5 linked regions of the Oryzias latipes genome follow. The protein of the gene in region 1 interacts with the protein of each later gene in a pairwise test. Links are inferred from orthologs where the notes say so. Each region holds a gene or a part of one and is shown on either strand. Other genes may lie near its edges.

Region 1 (4,054 bases):
TTGGTTTTCTTTATGATTAAGGTAACTTTATGAAGCGTTTGGGTTTAATCTCCTAAAAGCGTACAGTCTTGCAAAAGGAGAAGTTTGCTGCTGCTGCAAAACTTCAAAACTTTCAGTTCATGAATTGTTAATTTCAGAAAGATCAGGAAGGTTTCCTCATCTTTCATGTGGCGGCTCTAAAGGTGGAAACACTAAACATGAATCCTTCTACCAGCAGTGCATTCAGGGCTTATTCACTTTTTCCAAATGTTTTATGTCTTGTTTCAAATAGAGTAAACCTCAGGGAGGCGTCAGTTTATTAAATGAAAAGGGCCTTTTTGACATTTAAACCTTCAAGGCACCAGAACCTGGGTTTTTTTGCATCGTTTTTCTTTATTTGGGCCTCAGAGGTCCACAGACATTCCCTTTCTGACATGTTCTGCTGAATGAAAGCTCTCATGCAGACAGGTAGGTGTCCTCTCAAACCCAACCGACTCCAGAACCGCGGGTGGACGTCAGTGAAGCCCACGCATCTCAGAGATGATCCGAGCAAACAGGAGACACCGGGGTTTCATTTAAGCCTTTGACGCACTATTGATGCAAACCGATGCTTCTGCTTCATACTCACCTTAAAGAAAAAACAAAGTGTTTTTTCATAAAATTTCCGGGGGTAAACAATTACTTAGTTTTCTTTTATTTTAAAATCTTTTCTTTTTCCCAGTGTCCAAAAAACAAAAGTGTTCTTTTTATGATTTTGTGCTATTTCAAACAACAATAAAAAAAAATTTCACCCAACATTTGCTTTAAGGGATTTCAAACATTTTTGTCTAAACATATATTCTTACGTTGAAATAATAATAAATAATATGATTGTATTATTCAATATTATAGAGTCTCTAATATAATTTCTATTGTCTATGTGGAACTAAGTTTTGAAGTTTAATAATAAAACTGTAATATTTTATGTTTGGAGTACCATTGTACAAATGTAAATACTAAGATCATGAGGACTTGGTTTTAACCAGTTCGGAAAATTGTGACATTCTGACAATTTTTTTTAATGTAATTCTTGTGGCAAATTGAACACATCTTTTATTTTTTTACAGTTCCCTTTGATCCAACAGTCGTAGTTTTCTTTTGCTCAACCTTTCCTCTTCTGAGTATTTTGTCGTACCGTTTTGTCTCCGTTAGGGGGCAGCAGAGTTTTTGAAGATTCCAAAAAGAGGAAGAGGTTGTTGTTTTAAAAGAAGAAGAGTGTGAAGTTCAGGGAGACTTTGTAAACGTAATTTTGAACGGTAATGTGTTCTTCTTGAAAGGTTATTTGTTCTTTGGTTAATAAAGCCGCGTACTCTGGTCTTTGAAGTGTTTGGCTTTAGAATTAAAAAACACACAGATCTACTCAAGAAATGTACATTCTCCCATCTGTCCCCGACTCACCACAGACTTTGAAAAAAAAAGAGGTAATGAAGGACGCTTTTTGTATAGTGGGGTTTAAATGTAAGCAATTTAAAGTCATTTAAACCAGCAACACTAGCAAGTAGATATTTATGTTTGTTTTGTGCTTGCATGTTTTTACAGATTAAAATTCTGTTTTACGAATCTGAGTTGAGCCAACCTGTCATCGGTTTGAATGCAAAAATTCAGAGGGCGCGTGAAGGCAGCTGGTGGAGCAGAGGAGGAACCTTAGCAACGCAGTTGTAAAGCTAGCGTTTCCCCTGATAGAAATGTCAACATGCACCTTGGTGTTCACGGAGAGCGCGTAGTGTTTTACCTGCAGGCCTCTTCATGCTCCCACGTTCATAATGAAGCTCTTTAGTGAGCCAAGCTAGCCCCGCGGACTTTGGCTTTGTCGTAGCCCCGATCGGCTAGCTAGAACGAGCCGCCGTTAGCTTAGCTAGTACCTCGGTCGGTGAATATGGCGATTGTGTCTGGATCGTGTTCCCGGGTGAGCAGCTCCAGAAACGGGCCGTCGGTGTCCGCCGCGCCGTCCCCGTCAGTCGGACAGTCTCAGCCAATGATAGCGGTGTGGGAATGGCAGGACGACCAGGGCTTCTGGCGGCCGTACAGCGGCCAGGTCTGCTCCCACATCGAGCGGTCCCTGTCCCCGCGGGGCCACCGGGGAGCCGGACCCAGCTCCACCAGCGTCTGCCTCGGACAATCAGATCCCAGTCTGTCCCCCTACCTCATCGACATACCGAGCCTGAAGCAGTTTCGACAGGATACAGGTAAACCGCTTCAGCACCACACCTGAAGTCCGGATTCAGATCAGAGATTCTGGTTTCCGTCGTTCATTTTGTCTTTTTAAACTGCATTTCTGAGAAGATGATGTTGGTTCAGTCAGCTGGTCTAGAAAGCAGCAGTACACTTTAAGTTTATTTTATTAAGTATACTTGAGTACACGTATAGCTAGAATACTAGAGACTATGTAGATTTAGTGAAGTAACTGAGTATTTCTTGGAACATTTTGAGTCCAGGAATAGACAGTATGGAAGTGAACTTCAAGTGCATCACTTTTAGTATAGACCAAGTACCTTTTGTAGTACTCTTACAAAGAGTACTGTCTTGCTGAAGGTAAACTCATTTGCGGGTTTTTGTGCAGGAACCACGCGCTCCGTGCGCCGGTCTCTGTTCCCCCAGTCTTCGGGCCTCGGCAGTGGCGTTTACTGGGAATGGGCCAACGATGAAGGGGGCTGGACTCCGTACGAGACCAGAACTTCCATCCTTCTGGAGCACAGTTACCAGGCCCGCCAGGGGACCGCCGACCTGGGCCCTCACGGATACAACTACATTGTGGACCTCACGTCTTTCGCCCAGGTCAACAAATCAACGGGTTTCAGACGGCAGGTTCGTAGACTGGGCAACTCCCCGTTCCCGCTGGCGTCCCCGGGGCCCCCGGCTGTCCCCTTGGGGCCGGCCTGCTCCTGCCAGCAGTGTTTGAGCCACAGCAGCACGGGGCCCATGCCCAGCCGCTCCCGACATTCCTTTTCTTCGGGGAGTCTGAACCGACCCGGCCTGCAGGGACCAGGAAGGGCAGCCGCGACCCACCCCACTTCCGTCTACTCGCCGTATCCCCGGAGGCCCCACTCTGTTGGGGGGATATCCTGGGGCAGCCCCTGGCTCCCCCCTCCCTCTGCCAGTCAGATCTCGGCGTCGCACCTGAGCGGCTCCGCCAGCGCCAACGGGCTCAGGTGGGTTCCGCCTCTCTGTCCGGGGTTTCTGGTATCTGCTAAAACGCTGCCGGTCCCGTTCCAGTCGCCAACACGGATCTGAAGTCACTTTGTGGGGTCAAATGGTTTTACCTGAACAAATGTGGGACAGACATGGATAAAATAGGAACTCTTACATTTTGATTTGATTTGATTTTTGATTTGAAATGGTTTATTTCAAGCAATCAAGGAAGAAAAATACACAAAAACAATACAATCAGCATATTTTATTACATGTTTTATCTTTATCCGGTTCAGAACTTTTATCAGACAGAATTAAGAATCTTTTGGTGTCAATAAATCTCATGATAAAGATGAATTTCTTAATTATTATGTAAAAATAGACATAACTCTATTTTAGAAATAGCAAATGCAGATCAATTATCTAAAATATAAGCTGATTATATTCATTAGAACAATGATGTATATGATTAAAAAATAATACTATATCAGTAAAATAGACATAACACTGTTTCAAAAATCTTCAATATCAAAAATTGATCAAAGTTCAAAAGTTAAAAATATGTGCAAAATTAAGTTTCATTAAGAAAAACCATGAATCCATTTTTGGAGCAAGTGAAGTAATGTAATTAGAAATCACTCATTTTAACCATCTTCGATAATTGATTATGCATTATTTTTATCTTTATTTTATCTTTTTTTTATTTTAAGGTAGTTCTGTGAAATCAAATAAAATGAGAATAAAATCCTTGGTTGTGTCTGAATTCCCACCCTAACCCCAAACTACATAGTGCAGCACTGTGTAGCGCCCTGAATGTTAAAGCGATTCGGACGCCACGCTCACTACTTGTATTTTTTAGACGGCGGATATGACGTCATCGATTTCACAAAGTTAAAATCGAACTGAT
Region 2 (3,972 bases), on another chromosome or scaffold:
GTCATCTCGTAGTCACCATTAAAAATGAAATCTCGAATTAACAGATAGTATAGTGGGCTGCTGAAGGCTACTTGAATGAAGATTTTTTTGAATGTCTTTAGGTCCCTAAGCAGCAAATCCTTAAGCAGCTCCAATCACAGGAAAAAAAAGTGTTGACAACACAAAGGTCTATTTGTGAGCTCCTGATGTAACACTAAGTGATTCTAGCTTTTAAAGGTTTGACAGTTTAATAGCTCCATTATACAGCCAGCTAAAACTCAACAATGCCACACACCAGCTTAGATGACAGGACAGATGAAGACCACAACAGGCTAAATTCTAAATCTATACCTTTGCTTTACATGTTTAAAACAAATATACATGATTTTGAGCCGGGATAGCACATGTTTCAATTAGGAAATATGCTTATTTTATAGGAGGAGTTACAAAATACTATTTCAAGTTTAAGACGGATGTGTCAAAACACGAACCGAAGTGATAAAAACTAGGGATGTCCTGATCAGGTCACATGATCAAAAAATTGGGCCCAATTAACACACTATACATCCCAAGCTTATTATTTCAAAAAATGCCCTAGTAGAAGTCTGTATATCATGAACGGATCACGACTCTAGTTTGAATAGGAGTGAAGAACAAAAACATTTTGGTAAAGTTAGCAATATATTCACAGATTCAGGCTTACGGGCTGAATAACTCTCTTAAGCGCTTTAAACTAACAAAAGGTGTCTCTATCAGTTTGTCTTAAGCCAAGCAATGACCTACAAAGGCATTTCAATCAATTTTTTTCCCTCTTTAATATCTACTCTAGCAAAGAAACCGCTGCCAAGGGACCGTCTACAAAGTGAAAGCTCCAGGAAAAGTGATTAAAAAGAATCAAAACAAATAAATGGTTACATTGATATGAACTAGTCATGAATACTCATCATATTCATGCTGAAACAACAATTTTGGAGGAAAGTCATTGTTTTTAATTTTTGGAAATTTTTAATGGAACAAATCAAATCATATATGTTTAAAAAAAACGATCAATAGTTCTAAAGACACTAAAGATACAGTAACCAAACATTCTTACAAGGACTAATTATAAATATATAGTGCACTTTATAGTGCGTTCACCATTTTGTGAGGCTGTCCAAATCTACAAATCCAAAATCGAGTGGCCTAGAAATTTCCCAGAAGTCATTGATGCAGTGTGCATCAATGCTTACTAGATTGGCAAATATAGACCATTATGCATTGCGTCTGAACAATTTTTGCAAGATAAAATGTATTTAAATCTGTTTTCAAATAAAAATTCAACATTTTCATCATCAGAACACAGTGGATTCATAAACAGTTGTTGTAGAACACTCCTATCAATTAGATTTTCACTTTGTGAAATCGGTTGTCATATTCGCTGTTAGCAAAAAAAGTATTGAGCGTGGTGTCTGAATTACTTTTAAAAGGGCACTACATAGTTTACTATATAGTTTTTAGTAGTTAGGGATTAGGGAGGGAATTCGGACACAGCCTAAAGTTTTTTTTACTTTGGCTAAAAATGGCATGATTGTAATTAAGGGACTTCTAAGAACGTTTTTGAACCAATAAACAAATGATCGGTGTCAAAATGTAAAAGAAAGTTAATAAAATAAAAATAGAGGAGAACCTCGATTAGTTTATTAAAATGTTCATTTATTTGATGCGTTACAAACATATCAGATTGGGACTCATTTTAGGGAGATACTCAAAATCAAATGAATCAAACAAACTGGTGCCCAACACAAATCTAACTGGGACTTTCCTACTAAATAAAAGTTGTAACAAATTTATAAAGGTAAACCCATGTTGATTATGCATTTACTCTATTGTTTTCTGTAGGATGGAAATGTATATTTTAAAGCATAACAGGTTTTAGGAAAATAAATAATGATTTTAAAATTGTTTGACAACAAAACATTCTTTTTATCTTGATATATTATTATCCTGCAGCCTCCTGTACATTTCTCAGAACCTTGGTGGTTCGGATGTATTTCTTCTATCAGCCCGCGGCACGCATCGGTCGGGGCTGCGCTGCTCACCACAGATAGCGAGCAACGCCAAAACAGCAAAGGTTGGACAAAAATGGTCACACAGTCAATACAAGCCAAAGACACCATTTTGAAAATCCCCAGATTTTTTGTGCAACAACCTCCAGAAGCTGCCAGTTAACACGAGACGATCAATCAACACGCGTGAGGTCGAATCATTGGGAAACAAAAGCGCTGGAAACGGTTGAACTCTTATCGAAACGTTAGCTTTCAAGCTAGCCCGAAAAAGACAGCCGCTAACCGGCCGCTGCATCCCCGCATCCATCGGTGCACGCTGCTCACGTCGCTAATAGCAGGCTAGCCGATAAATTACCGGACAATTGCAGGAAAAAAACTAACAACAATAACATGGCTTAAATAATGTAAACATGTTTAAATATTTAGATTCGAAACCTATAAGCATTAACGCACATCCGGTGCATTTAGTGTGTCCATTTAGTGTCCGCTATTATCGTTAGCATTTTTAGCTTAGCCCGCTAGATTCCCACTAGTCACCACGGAGGACAATTGAAGGGAAAGGGAGGGGGAAGAAGTCAAAGAACGCAGATATAAAAAGTCGACCTATGGACATTTCTGCCCTCCACGACAGCCAGCAAAACGGGACTCACCGAAACCACTCGAAAACAAAGACTTCTCGGCGTGCTGCGGTGCGCTCGGTCGGTGAGGACTGGTTCTTTCTGCTCGGCCAGTGACGCTTGGAAACAGCTTTCAACCGGAGAGACGGCCGACGTGTGGGGGATGGGGATGCACCGCCGAGAGGGAAGGAGGGAGGGATGCTGGGATGCAAGCAGAACGGCGGGGGGGACGAGGCACCGATTATGAACGGCGGAGGGGGTCCGATCAGCGGATCAATGCGCTCCAAACCACGAGGAGAATGGGAATTTGCGAAGTCACATTTTTTGTTTTGTTTTAATAATAAAGACAACATTATGGGGGGAAAAAATCTTAGGTTAATACTTTATTATTGTAAATAATTAGTAATACATACTATATGAAGCGGCAACATACATGCAACTGCTTTTGGCAAATTATATTATAATATTGTTTGCATTGTTTTTTTTTCTGTACAAAGAAAATCTGGACGTAGTCTATCTTTCTGTCTTCATGTACGTTTTCTACACAGCAAGACAGCGCCGCCATGTGGTCATAAACCAGGTTGCTCACGAATTGTAATTTGTTGATTTCAAACAATCACATTTTCTTCAGAACTGGCTTAATCCTTGGTGGTATGTATTCAACAAGGTGCTGGAAACATTCCTCAGAGAGTTTTGTCCGTATTAACATGATAACATCACGCAGTTGCCTCGGGTTTGTTGGCTGCACATCCATGATGCCAATCTCCCGTGCCACCACCTCCCAAAGGTGATCTATTGGGTTGAGATCTGGTGACTGTGGAGGTCATTTGAGTCCAGTGAACTCATAGTCATGTTCAAGAAACCAGTCTGAGATGATTCCAGCTTTATGACATGGTGCATTATCCTACTGGAAGTACCAAAAGTAGAAACTGTGGTCATAAAGGGACGGACATGGTCAGCGACAATACACAGGTACACTGTGAAGTTGAAAAGATCCTCAATTGGTACTAAGGGACCCAAAGTGTGCCCCCACACCAGTGCACCACCAGCACCAGCCTAAACTCTTGATATAAGACTGGATGGCTCCATGATTTCATGTTTTTGATGCCAAATTCTGACCCTACCATCCAAATGTTGAAGCAGAGATGGAGATTCATCAGACCAGACAAGGTTTTTCCAATCTTCTATTGTCCAGTTTTGGTGAGTCTGTGTTAATTGCAGCCTCAGTTTCCTGTTCTTAGCTGACAGGAGCGGCACCCGGTGAGGTTCTCTGCTGCTGTAGCCCATCTGCCTCACGGTTGGACATGTTGTGCATACAAAGATGCTCTTCT
Region 3 (3,463 bases), about 3.0 Mb from region 1:
AATATGAAAGGACTTATCAAACAAACAAGTTTAACATTCATTAAAATAAATTTGGGTTTTTTTAACCTTTAAGGTTTTATTTTTAGTTCACTTAATACAAAAAATCTGTCAAAAATCATCAAATTTAACAAATTTAGTAAGATGTTCTACAATTATTTATGTTTGTAGTACTTTGAAAATACTTATCCATGCTTTTACTGTGAAACATTCCCATTTTGAAGAACAACATGAATAAAACTTAAAAGAACATGAATAAAACTACATAACAGCAAAATCTGAATATAAAATGCATTTTATGTTTCTATAGCAAAAAAAAAGAACTATTGGTACTGTAAAATAATATTTTGTATTTGGCTCCCTCTGTTGGGCATATATGATAAACACAACAGAAAACTGCAAAGTAATAGTCAGTCATTCTTTACCTCTTCCCAATTCATAAGAAAAGAATGTTCTCCTTTATTTTTCTCACACCACTATAAAAATAACTGCCAAATGTCAGCTTCTCTTGTTAAATAAAAATGATTTATTTTGAACATCAAATTACAGTCAAAGTTTAACTGCACAATTGCTAAAGTACAGACGACTGAAAAAAGTTTTCAAGGCTTTCCTTATTTAAAACTCAACAAAAGTGAAGAATGTATCTTAAATTTTGTCATTCCAGCTATCTCTGCACTTATCCAAAAAGTTATATTGGAATTCCTTTAAAGTCCAATGCAATTTTGAGCAGCTGAGCTCCAAGCTCTGCCTGCTGCCCGCCCGGCAGAAACTCTGCAGACAACTCCCTGTAGGTGCTGCACACCCGGCGCTTGTGAATATCTTGCCTGCGAATGGCGTGCTTCCATCGATGCCTCGCTTCGCCGTAAACCACGACTAAACATCTGCGTGGAAGGCGAACGGCCACATGAATTTCCTCTGACAGTCCCAGCTCTGGCAGACCCTGCTCAAGCGACATGGTGAGTGTGGTGTCTGATAGCATGTTGATGGTGACGAGTCGCTCCCCCCAAAGCCAGGAGTCATCAAAGTGCGGGTCTATGGCTGAGCCCCTCTGAGGGTTGTAGTCCAGGTTGCACTGCTCCACTGGCTGAAAGCCAGACAGGCATGGCTCTTGCTGCATCCGTAGTACGAGTTCTTTGCTCAAACTAGGGAGTCCACTGAAGCCACCCACACGCACTTTTCTTTTTTTAAAGTTCACCTTTGGACCAAAATCCTGCAACCAAAATGAGAAAAATGGTTAAATTATAAATCAATGTACTTAATTTCAATGTAAATCTCTCATCATGTCTTTTCAGAAGAAAAAATGTAAACCTTTTTAATCTGACTGGGAGAGCATTACCTGTTTCCTTCGACCAGACTGGGATGGGTTCCAGGCATCCTGGTCCATTGAGTTAATCAGCTGCTTCTCTTCCTCTTCAGATATAAAGTCGTCCCATAGGAAGATACCAGGAAACGAGAAGGATGCACTCCCTGCATCTTTGCAGACAGCAAGCTTTGTCTCAGGATTGTAGATGAAATGATGCGCCGCCTAAAAAAAAGACAACAGTAAACAAATGTCTATTTATATAAATTATTACTTCACTTTTAGCCTCTTTGTAGGAAACTGAGGCAGTTTCATTCACATACTTCAGATAATGTGCTCTTTCTTTTAGCAAATATGTTAGAAAATTACATTTTGCTTTTAAACAAAAATATTAAAAATGTGGTGTTTTTTTTAGATCGCCCAAAGTGAAGTGTATTGTTCTATGTGCTGTTATGTTTAAAGTTATTCTGTTTTAGGTTTGTGGATTATTAACAAGAAACACTCAACAACAAAAAATAAAGTCTTAAAAAAAAAACAACAACTTAAGTTAATGTGAGAAACTAGTCAGGTTATTCTACACTCTTCTTCGTATAAGTTCGTAAGAAATCGTGAATAACTGTTTTAGCTTTTTGTTGTTTAGTCACACAAGTGGGAAAAATATTGGTATGAATCGGAACGACTGACAAAAGCAAACAAATTGTAACTTAAAAATTTCATGGTAAATAAAGTATTCACCTAGCATATTGATGCTTTGAGATCATGTATTTTGTCCAGCGAGGACCTCCGTACATTTGAAAGAAGCGCAAACAGGTAAATGCAGGGGGTTCAAATACAATTAATTGTTAGTTTTAGTTAAATACAGATACCTTTGGATCTTTTGTCCCCTCTTTTTCTTTGCGATTTTCGCACAAAAGACACAGCCGGATCCCTTTACATCCGCATTGAGAAACACCGTCGCTGCCGTCCGGAGCCATCATTCTGAGCCAACCGGAACTAACGTCTTGTGGGTTAAAGGTATATGCTTGTATGGTTGAAAGGTAGAGGCGCAGGATATAATTATAAAATAGTTAGATTTAGAAACCTTATCTGTAAACATTTAATTTTTTAGCAGCACACAAAATAAGTACATTCATATTTCACTAACTTTATTATCATTATCCACAATCAAATTCACTTTGAAGCTATTTTGCCTATGAGTCAAAGCTCAGGGTATATAAAACAGCACACACCGGATATAAACATTTTCCCCCGGAAGTAGACATTTTCCCCGCGAAATTTTTAGTGTCGCGTTTGTGTTCGTGTATCCTTGGTTGGTGAGTTTTTTTTATGTCCAAATTTTACGAGCTTGTAATTGCAAATTAATGAACTGAGTATATTCGTAGATTCAACAATGTTTTAATCGATCTTTCGTTAGATTTACTTCAAATATTTTAAAACCCAGAAAATGCGTCCAAACAACAACGTCAACTTGACCGTCAACGTGGCTAAAATATCTTTTGTAACTAAGATTACGTACATTATTTAGTATCACATAAGTTTAGCTAAAAATACAATCCTTAATGTAACGTTTTGCACAGTCACTTTTCCTTGTTATAATTAAATAATGCATCGAAATTTCCAAAAGTTCTAAACTCAAAGCTATTCATGATGATTGTGAAGTATATCTTAATAAAATAATGCTTTTTAGTACTTTTATTGTTGTTGTTTTTTTGTCTTACTTTGTTCTTATCTTAAACCATTGTAAATCCTGCCTTCATTGTAGCGCTTTGAGATTTTACCCAAAATATAAAGCGCATTCTAAATAAAATTTATTATTATTATAAAAAAAATGTGCCTAATTCCCTTTTGCTCGTTTTGTTCTTGTTTTGTGCTTACCGCTTTAATGTATGTTTGTCAATTTATGAATAAAGGTGGGAAAAAATGATTTGCTAAAATAGTTTTGCTCAATTTACTTATAAAACGTCTTTAACCTTTTGTTTTGTTAGTTTAAAACATGTTTGAGTGGCAACACATCATCTCTTTTTGGCTGTGGTGTTCAAATAAGCTTTGTGTTCACTTTAATTTAGTTAATTTTATAGATTATCACCCAACCAAACCTCTGAGGGACCCATCATTTGGCAGAAAATGTAAATAAAGTAGTAAGACAACATTCACCTAGATTTACAA
Region 4 (4,043 bases), on another chromosome or scaffold:
AACCATCTGATGGGTTCTGTTCAGGAGACGGACTGACGACAGCCAATCAGGAAGCAGAACACTAAACGATCAGCAGCACAAACGTCAGAAGTGAACCGCGACCACAAGAAGAACTCAAAAGGCCGAGTTCAACCAAAATGATCAACCGGAGCCAAAGGCTGAAAAACACCAACTAAAAAAAGAAAAAGAAAATTCTGCATCTTAAAAAGCAAAACCAGAACAAATAGCATCCAGTTGAAGAATTCATGTGCTAACAGCTAAAATGTTAGCATTGACGCTTTGTTCTATGGCAGCCCCTCCCACCAATCAGGAGTGAGCTTGTTGGAAGGCCACGCCCCTACCACTGGAAAGCTGTAAACGTTTTGAACACTGGACAAGGGGGTCAACAGGCTCCGCCTACTTTTATTGAGGCGTCTGATTGGCCAGTTAATGACTTGACTAACTTGAGATACAGGAAAAAAAAAGAGTTTTATCAAGTAGATGTTTAAAAACAAAAAGGTATCCGATCCAGAACGGTTCTTCTGACCAACAGAATGACAGCTGTTGATTTGCAGATACTTCCTGTTTGTAGCAAAGGGGAGGGGCCCCTCCGTCCAGTTCCGGTATACAGTCAGTGGTAACAAAAGAATCTGCAGAGAGGTTTTTCTGAAAATCTTAAATCCTTCAGATCAAACTTGTCTGGGGGGTTTTAAGCCGTGCTGCCAGAAGCTGACCTGCATCAGTCACTCAACCTCTCTGTCCCAGAATGCATCTCTCCTGAAGTGCATGAGTGAGCAGAGGGAAAACGAGTGGATTCGTGCCAGTAAAAGCAGCACATGTGATGCCCGTGTGAAGCTGAGGGAAGCATGTGACGGCTGGGTGATGAACGCCGTCACATGACTCTCCACCTCTCAGAGCCTCAGCAGCAGCGGCTCAACCTCCAGCTGCGGGAACCAGCCGGGTGTCGGCTCCAACGCCAAACAAATCCCCATTTTTAAGAGATCTGTGAGCTAAAAACCCGACGGGAATAATCGTCTTATTCCAAAAGACAACGCGAGCCGTTGTTCCACCAAACAGCAGATCCGAGGACCAAACCCGTTTTCTGAAAGCTAATCTCATCTTAATCCAAGAGGGCGATCCGTGCCGCTGAAATCCAGCCTCAGATTTCTCATTTTCACGCAGAACTCAACACAAAAGTCATGAACTAAAGCAATCAGAACGATTGTTTAAGCAATAATTGACCACAAATCTTGAAAAAAACCTAACAAACTAAATGCAGAGACGCCTGACACTCATGAGGGGATTTGTGAGGTTTAAATTAAACATCTTTAGCAGAAAACGTTGTGATATTTTCTTAGACTAAAATAGAAACACAGCTGTCAGGCTCCAAGCTTCCTTTTTCCAAGGTAAAACCTTTTTTTTCTGCTGTGGAATGAGATGCAGAGTCTTCCTACTATATTCACTAACCACAAAAACAATGTTTACAACAATCTGAATGTAAATAAAATTTGAAAAAAGACAACATTTGAGCAAAATCATAAAAACTTTATGATTTTATCAAACATCTGTTTGAGCGGAGCTTCATTTTTCCAAACTGTGGTTCTCCAGAAAAACCATAAACCAGTTTAAAAAGTGAATACAGGAAACAGGTGAGACAGAAGGGACAAAATGAAAACACGTAATGGCGAAGGGGCGTGGTCTAAGCAGTGCGTTCTTGGTCTTATTTTGTTGTTTGTCAACTGTTTTCATGGTGATTTTATTGAACAGAAGGGAAGCAGGTCACAAGATCAAGTATTAGTGCATAACATTTGTAAAACGTTTCTTAGACAGCGTGACAAGCTAACGTGTGCTTTAGAGACCATGATACTACCACCACCTGTCAGCTTAAAGACCACGCCCTCATTTCCATATAAAGTAATCCTCAACCTTTGAATAGGAGGGCTTTAAAACCAGGTACGGTAAAGAACACGGGCGCTAAAGCCACGGCGATTAAAGGGTTCATTTACAGAACCAACCGAATTCTACGACAGAGTCAGTCACAAAAGTCTGGAGGACATTTCACAGCAAGCCTCCTCCGACTGTAGGTTGAGGCTAGTAAACAGAAGAAGAAGAAGAAGAAGCCCCTCCCTGCAGGCGCAGTGTGAACACCTGGTCTGAACGGTGTGCATGTAGTTTCAGAAAAATAACCTCTCTGGGTTTAAGGAGTTCAGCTGTGTTTGTCCTGAAGCTCGGTTCTGAACAGGTTCGGCTCATCAGAACCTGAAGGTTGATCCAGCAGGACAGAATCCCGATGACCCGTCACGGAATGGACCCCTTCACACCTGGGGTGCTTTTGTATCACGTGACCACGAGAGCAGGTGTTTCATAAGAATTTCAACGCGCGCGAGCGTTAGCCCTCATCGCATCGGCGACGGTCCAGCTGCTCCGGAGTGAGGCGCGTGACGAGGCGGGAACTTACCCTCTTAAGTGGCACGGTGCTTCGGAACCAGTTGTAGTCTGGAGACACCTTGATCTCCTCCATCTGCGGACACAGAGACGGTGACTCAAGTGTGTGTGCGGGGGTGTCCGGGCTCAGCTGCTTCCGCGCGGGGGCAGCTGTTAGCCATAATAGCGGCTAGCTGCTAAACGAACCCCGCGGTAACCCCGTTAACGGCGTAGAAACCGACCGCCCCGCCAGCCCCACTCACCGTGGACGTCACCGTGTCAGAGCCCACGCCGCTGCTCGGTGAAGGGTCACCGTGTCCGGAGACGTTTGTCCATGTCGGGTAGCGCTTGGAGCGGCTGCAGCTCGGTCATGTGATTTTCCTTTCACACACTTCCGCAAGTAGCCTCTCCGGTGCTGCGTTCGCGGTCGCTCTGAAAATCCTGTTCTCCGGCAGTAAGAAAGCCGCTTTGGTTTCTTAAGTCTTGCTTAATTTCTGTTGTCGTTACAGTTTTCATCCTATACAATGTAGCACTCAAATGTATTCAATGTTTGTCTGAATATGGAATCAATAGAAATGTAAGAAGACATTACAGACTCGAGATTCTTTCCACACAAAACCCAACGAATCTCCGAATCCCCGTTTTTCTCAAACGCATCGGTCAAACCTCAAGGTAATTCTTCTCATAATTTTAACTTCAGTCATCAAAATATTTGGATGAAAAACTTTCTAAAACAAACTTAATTCTTGAATGAAATGCGTTTTTGTTCGTAAATTGTTCTGAAATTACAATTCATACAAGTAAAATGGAATAATTTACATCTTCAGTGTGGATCAGTCTTTCATTGAAATCCTGTCTGTTCTCATTTTTTTGTGGTTTAACCTGGACAGGAAACTGAAATGACAAGATGTGTAGATTGGTTCCGTTTCCCAGAGCGGTGTTGGTGTGTCGTTCAGACTTTGGCCCCCATCGGTTCTCCAGCTGTTTCTTTAAAAGCTTCATCTGAAATCGTTTAACCACCTCCAAGTGTGTCTGACGTGACGCAGAGAAGATCAGTTATGGAAGGTTTAAACTGCTTCCTCAGGTCGTCCCCACTGTGAAGGTCAGTTTATTGGAAATGTTTTCTTCCCATTTGGAACTTAAAGGCAGCTTTAAAGCTTGTGAAACATGAGCGTAACCCCAAAGTGAATTTATTTACCCTAAACTGTTTAGCTGTTTAACAAACGTTTGATAATGAAGATAAAAAGGAGGAAAACCACAAAAAGACAACAGTAGAAATGATTTTTTTACCAAACTTTATAAAGTTGAGGGAAGTCCTGGAGCCCCAAACAGACTTAAGGACACATTAAGGGAAGAAGCTGCATCAGATTCTCTTCCAGGCACATCAGCGTCTCAATGACAAACGTTTTGGCAGTGAAAGCTCCAGAAGACAGAAGAAGTGCTTTAAGACGTTGGAATCTCCCATCCGACACATGCAGAACGGTCCTGTGCAGCAGCGTTCTGCACTGCTGAAGGTCTGAAGGATGGACGCATTTGAACTCATTCACCAATGTCCAAAGGTCAAAACCTTAGTGAGGGGGCGGGGCCAGAGCCCAGACCCACTGTGGTTAGTCTAGAACACGTTTGAGTCTCCTGGAAAG
Region 5 (4,098 bases), on another chromosome or scaffold:
GAACAGACCCCCCAGCAGTAATGATTTTCTGGCCAACTTTAAAACAGTCTTCAATGTACATGTGAGCGACCTTCTTTGATGGGCTCCGTCCGCTTCCTGGACCTCTTGGACTTGCGTTTATCCTCCTCCAGGATCTTGTCGTCAAATCCGGTGAGTTCGATGGTTTCCGACTGGCTGGTGGGGCCTCCTGAGAACCACTCTGGCTCCTCCTCAACATACGAGTCGTTTCTTCTCCTCTCACTAAACACACGTTTGTCACCAAAATCTCTCTGCCAGTTCAGAAAAGGGGTCGGTGGACATGGAAAAGGGAATAACGATGGACTACTGAATGCAAAGTATTGAGAACTTCTTTCAACAGGGTTATACTAAAATACAAGACTAGTCATCATAACAGGATAATTTAAAGAAAATTCTTTAAAGAGACCTAAATGTTTGTAAAAATGGAAGAAACCAACCCTGAATCTTTTATCTTTGAAGTCTCTCTCTCGTTCTCTGTCCTTCTCTACTCGGGCTTCTCTCTCAAAAACCCGCGCTGGGATGATGCGGCCGCTGCCAATCCTGCGGGGGCCTCCAAGACGCAGGCTCTCATTCTCCTTGTTTTCCAGAGGACTGGTTGGGCGACGGACGTGAGCAGCGGGTAGGGCGTTGCCTTGACATCCACTGCCAAAACTACGGCGCTGTGGACTAAGTATGACGTCCAAGTCGTCCTCCTTCAACCGCTCACGGGGATCTTCATGGAAATAGGTGAGAAAAGAAGTTTCATTCAGAAATTTCAGTAAATATTCCTGAAAGCTTGAAGTCACAACTACAGAAAAGTCTTGTGGTATTCCCACCACTGTCTCACTCTTGAAGTGCACATACCTGGGATTCTTCGCTTTAAAGGAACCCTTTCATCCATGTAGTCCTTCTTAAAACCTTCCACCGGAGAGCTCCGCTCTGAAGTTGGATAGAGTGAGGCATGCCACTTTTCTGGGTCCCAAACTCCATCACTAAAGAACAGTTTTTAGGGGAAGGTGAGCAAAGAAATGTAACATAAAGATCAAGTAGGGCTGGCTGGTTAAAACACACATAGAATACGTTTCAGTATTTTTGGAAGTATATACTAACCCTAAAATTAACCAACCAACCAACCTCAGAGTAATTGTAACTGACATATCCTGTTCGGAACAAAAGGTCAAACTGTTGCGATTTTAGTCACTAAGTGAACTAAATCTGCCACAATCAAATGTAAGCTGATAAAATATGATATATAATCAAGAGGCAAAAAAAATATCTATGACTAACCCTTGAAATAAAAAAGAAAAGCATTTCACAAGGAGACGGTTTTACCTGTCATATTTCTCTGAGAGACACTCAGGCCTTTGATTGGAAATGGGAAGCTCTTTTATCCTGAGAAGCTCTTCCTGTGCACAAATGCTTGTGTTAAAAGGAAAACGGTGTGGAATAAGCAGCAACGTTTAGCTGACGCGTCTCATCACCTTGGTGTATCTGTAGGCAGACGTAGCCAGTGCCTGTTGCTTGGACTCAGTGGACGCACTTTCATTCTGTTCTGAGGCATCTTTGTCCATGATGCAGGCAAAGCGGTTCCAGGTAAACTACTGATCCTGTTGAAAACGGCAGAATTTCACATTCGTTTGGTGTCATTAGAGGCAATAAATAAATAATTGGTCAACTTCTTGATATTAAATAAGTTTCAGAATCAGACAATGTCTTAGCAGGAAAAAAAAAAAAAACCAAACCTTTAAAGAAAGTTTCTTGTAAATACATCAAACAGTACACACAGATAATTTGTCAAACCCAAAATACTGTACTGGTACTTATTTTGGAGCTTTGCTGGCATAAAGCTTATAAAATATATATTTTTTTAACCTTGTAATCCTTGGCTTGGAGATGTTGATCTTTTAAGCAGAATCATTTGATGGGGCTCAAAACGCTTCAAATCAACGGGGATCAAACTTTTCAAGTTGTCCTCCATTTGTGGAACAACCTCTTCATCCGTCCATTGGTGGTTTTGGTCTAAACTTTTCAAAGTCATCAAAACCCATTTGTTCCGGAGGTTAGTATGTTGTTTATAGTTTATTTCCATTAGCTTTACATGCATCATGTCTACTATAGGATTATTTAAACTTGGTTGGTAATTGTAGTTTAGTTTTTTAAGCACTTTGTTTTCAAATCTGTAATTAAAATAGATATATACTGGGGGGGGAGTTAACTCACTTAACAGTGAAGACCCAAACCATCCGTCAGTGGAGACCAATTAGTGGCTTAATTGAAAGCATCCTGACAACACAAGTGGCAGTCAATTACAATGAATCGCAAAATGTTTGCGACAAATGTTGATGCCACCTGGTAACAAATTATTAACTACAAGTAGTATTTTTCCTCCACCCATTTACCTCAACATTAGAGAACAACAATAAACACAGGTTGGTTAATTATGGTTACCCGAGTTGAGACAGTCCGATGCAAACCCCTGAGAGTTGAGGGGATGGCAAAAATGTGATTCAACAGAAACTTGTCAAAAGCATCTTGAAAAACACAAACAAACAACTTACTCAGTTGAAATGATGCGTGAAATACTGCCGAACAGCTGCACTTCACGTTAGTTAGCAAGTTAGCCTAGCGCCTTTCGCTAGCTAACTAGCTGGGTAATGGGGATAATTCCCACCCCGCAAACAACAACTCATAAGGCGGTCGACTTTTCCAAAGAGCTATATTGTTACAGGCTATGGCAGGGTAACTCAAAATAGTATTTCTAGTCCAAATAATTAATCGGGTCGCACAGAAACTCTGTAATCACAAATTATTGTTTGCTCTTTCTCTTGTTTCTTAGTCGTAGCAGCGAATTTCCTACAATCACCGCTTTAAGAAGGTCCTCAGAGAGATTAAAAGGTGCCCGTCGCGCCTTTGTAGAATTTAAATTTTTGTTACTGAAGGTGTAGGAGCAATCTTGTTCTTATTGCTTAAATATTATATAGACGTAATAAATGTTTGTTAATTAATAAAATCGTGTATATTTATTGTGAAGTTTTTTGTTGATGAAAAAACACCAAACACTTCATTCATTTAATCTGGCATTATATAGAATACCTAATTTTTTCAGGGTATGCTTGATTTTTCCCCCTCAATCTTGATCTCGGAGTGATATTGTCAGAAACTGCCGTCTCCACCCCTGTGGGCGGTTTTGTATTTTGTTTAGTATTCCTCCAAAAGCTGAGGACCCAATGTGACTATCATCTAAAATATATATTTTATAATAATATACACACATATATTTCAGTTCGAAAAGTAGAACGAGTACAGCAGGACTGAGTTTAAAATAGAAAAGTGTAATCCATAGTTACAATTTCTAATGTCTTATATTTGAGCATTGCCGCCTGATGTTACCGTTTCTAGGGGTCACGTGACAAGGAAAGTTGTTCAAATTTTAAGTTTGCGACTATGCGATATGGTTTCCGTTCCTTGTTAGTTGAACTACGATGCAAATATGCAACATAGTTCAGTCAGAGACGCAAAGTCGGGGCTGCAAGTCGGTGCAGAAACAAACAGGAAGTGCTTCACAGAGCTGGACATCCCTGCTGGAAGACTCGATGAACAAACTAGATCGGGTTCTAGGACTGTTAGCTTACTTCTTAGGATTTTACTGCTGTGATTATTGAGTTTTATTGCTTTACCACTTCATGCATTTCACAAAGTTTCTAATCATTTGGAAACACAGATTCTCCTCCAGGTAACATTTGACAGTTAGCAAACTTTGTTTTGAGTTTTCAAGATCAGAGTTGGGGAAATCCTTGATGGTCTTGCCATTGCTTACCAGTCTATTTATTTCTTTGACTTTATTAGAGCCTGTATACTAACTGGCACGAGCCTTGAATTCATGCAAAGGTGAGTGCTGGACCTCTAGCGGGGAACTGCGAGCAGACTGTCATTAGGTCATCTGAGGACATCCTATGCTTGAAAGGTACAAACTCTACCTGAGTGCTGTTTGCGTTTGCCAGCCATTGCTTTGAAGGTATATTATTTGGACGTTCCGTAACCAGAGAAATTCAGCATCACTGAGGCAGGAGAAAGGAAAATACACAAAAAAGACAGTTATTG

Evidence for each region. The genes of interacting proteins can lie anywhere in the genome.
Region 2: the proteins of probable E3 ubiquitin-protein ligase DTX2 (region 1) and fam168a interact in binary tests that used the Homo sapiens proteins (3 or more experiments, as listed by UniProt). The two-hybrid records come from large-scale screens. The link is inferred for Oryzias latipes from reciprocal best matches to the Homo sapiens genes DTX2 and FAM168A.
Region 3: the proteins of probable E3 ubiquitin-protein ligase DTX2 (region 1) and alkbh4 interact in binary tests that used the Homo sapiens proteins (3 or more experiments, as listed by UniProt). The two-hybrid records come from large-scale screens. The link is inferred for Oryzias latipes from reciprocal best matches to the Homo sapiens genes DTX2 and ALKBH4.
Region 4: the proteins of probable E3 ubiquitin-protein ligase DTX2 (region 1) and spg21 interact in binary tests that used the Homo sapiens proteins (3 or more experiments, as listed by UniProt). The two-hybrid records come from large-scale screens. The link is inferred for Oryzias latipes from reciprocal best matches to the Homo sapiens genes DTX2 and SPG21.
Region 5: the proteins of probable E3 ubiquitin-protein ligase DTX2 (region 1) and eif4enif1 interact in binary tests that used the Homo sapiens proteins (3 or more experiments, as listed by UniProt). The two-hybrid records come from large-scale screens. The link is inferred for Oryzias latipes from reciprocal best matches to the Homo sapiens genes DTX2 and EIF4ENIF1.

Annotation. Positions count from the first base shown.
Region 1 is NC_019872.2:28,224,167-28,228,220, forward strand, and holds the start of probable E3 ubiquitin-protein ligase DTX2, read left to right. Parts: upstream 1-1,254; 5' UTR 1,255-1,894; coding exon 1,895-2,204; intron 2,205-2,578; coding exon 2,579-3,167; intron 3,168-4,054. UniProt on the Homo sapiens protein: Regulator of Notch signaling, a signaling pathway involved in cell-cell communications that regulates a broad spectrum of cell-fate determinations.
Region 2 is NC_019871.2:20,750,915-20,754,886, forward strand, and holds the start of fam168a (protein FAM168A), read right to left. Parts: upstream 2,801-3,972; 5' UTR 2,675-2,800; intron 2,090-2,674; exon of another isoform or gene 1,295-2,089; intron 1-1,294.
Region 3 is NC_019872.2:25,208,760-25,212,222, forward strand, and holds alkbh4 (alpha-ketoglutarate-dependent dioxygenase alkB homolog 4), read right to left. Parts: upstream 2,286-3,463; 5' UTR 2,275-2,285; coding exon 2,164-2,274; intron 2,079-2,163; exon of another isoform or gene 2,033-2,078; intron 1,523-2,032; coding exon 1,334-1,522; intron 1,208-1,333; coding exon 686-1,207; 3' UTR 501-685; downstream 1-500. UniProt on the Homo sapiens protein: Dioxygenase that mediates demethylation of actin monomethylated at 'Lys-84' (K84me1), thereby acting as a regulator of actomyosin-processes.
Region 4 is NC_019861.2:37,280,528-37,284,570, forward strand, and holds the start of spg21 (maspardin), read right to left. Parts: upstream 2,801-4,043; 5' UTR 2,667-2,800; intron 2,501-2,666; coding exon 2,438-2,500; intron 1-2,437. UniProt on the Homo sapiens protein: May play a role as a negative regulatory factor in CD4-dependent T-cell activation.
Region 5 is NC_019863.2:612,818-616,915, forward strand, and holds the start of eif4enif1 (eukaryotic translation initiation factor 4E transporter), read right to left. Parts: upstream 2,801-4,098; 5' UTR 2,556-2,800; intron 1,998-2,555; exon of another isoform or gene 1,870-1,997; intron 1,605-1,869; 5' UTR 1,569-1,604; coding exon 1,479-1,568; intron 1,404-1,478; coding exon 1,330-1,403; intron 990-1,329; coding exon 862-989; intron 731-861; coding exon 456-730; intron 270-455; coding exon 71-269; intron 1-70. UniProt on the Homo sapiens protein: EIF4E-binding protein that regulates translation and stability of mRNAs in processing bodies (P-bodies). Plays a key role in P-bodies to coordinate the storage of translationally inactive mRNAs in the cytoplasm and prevent their degradation.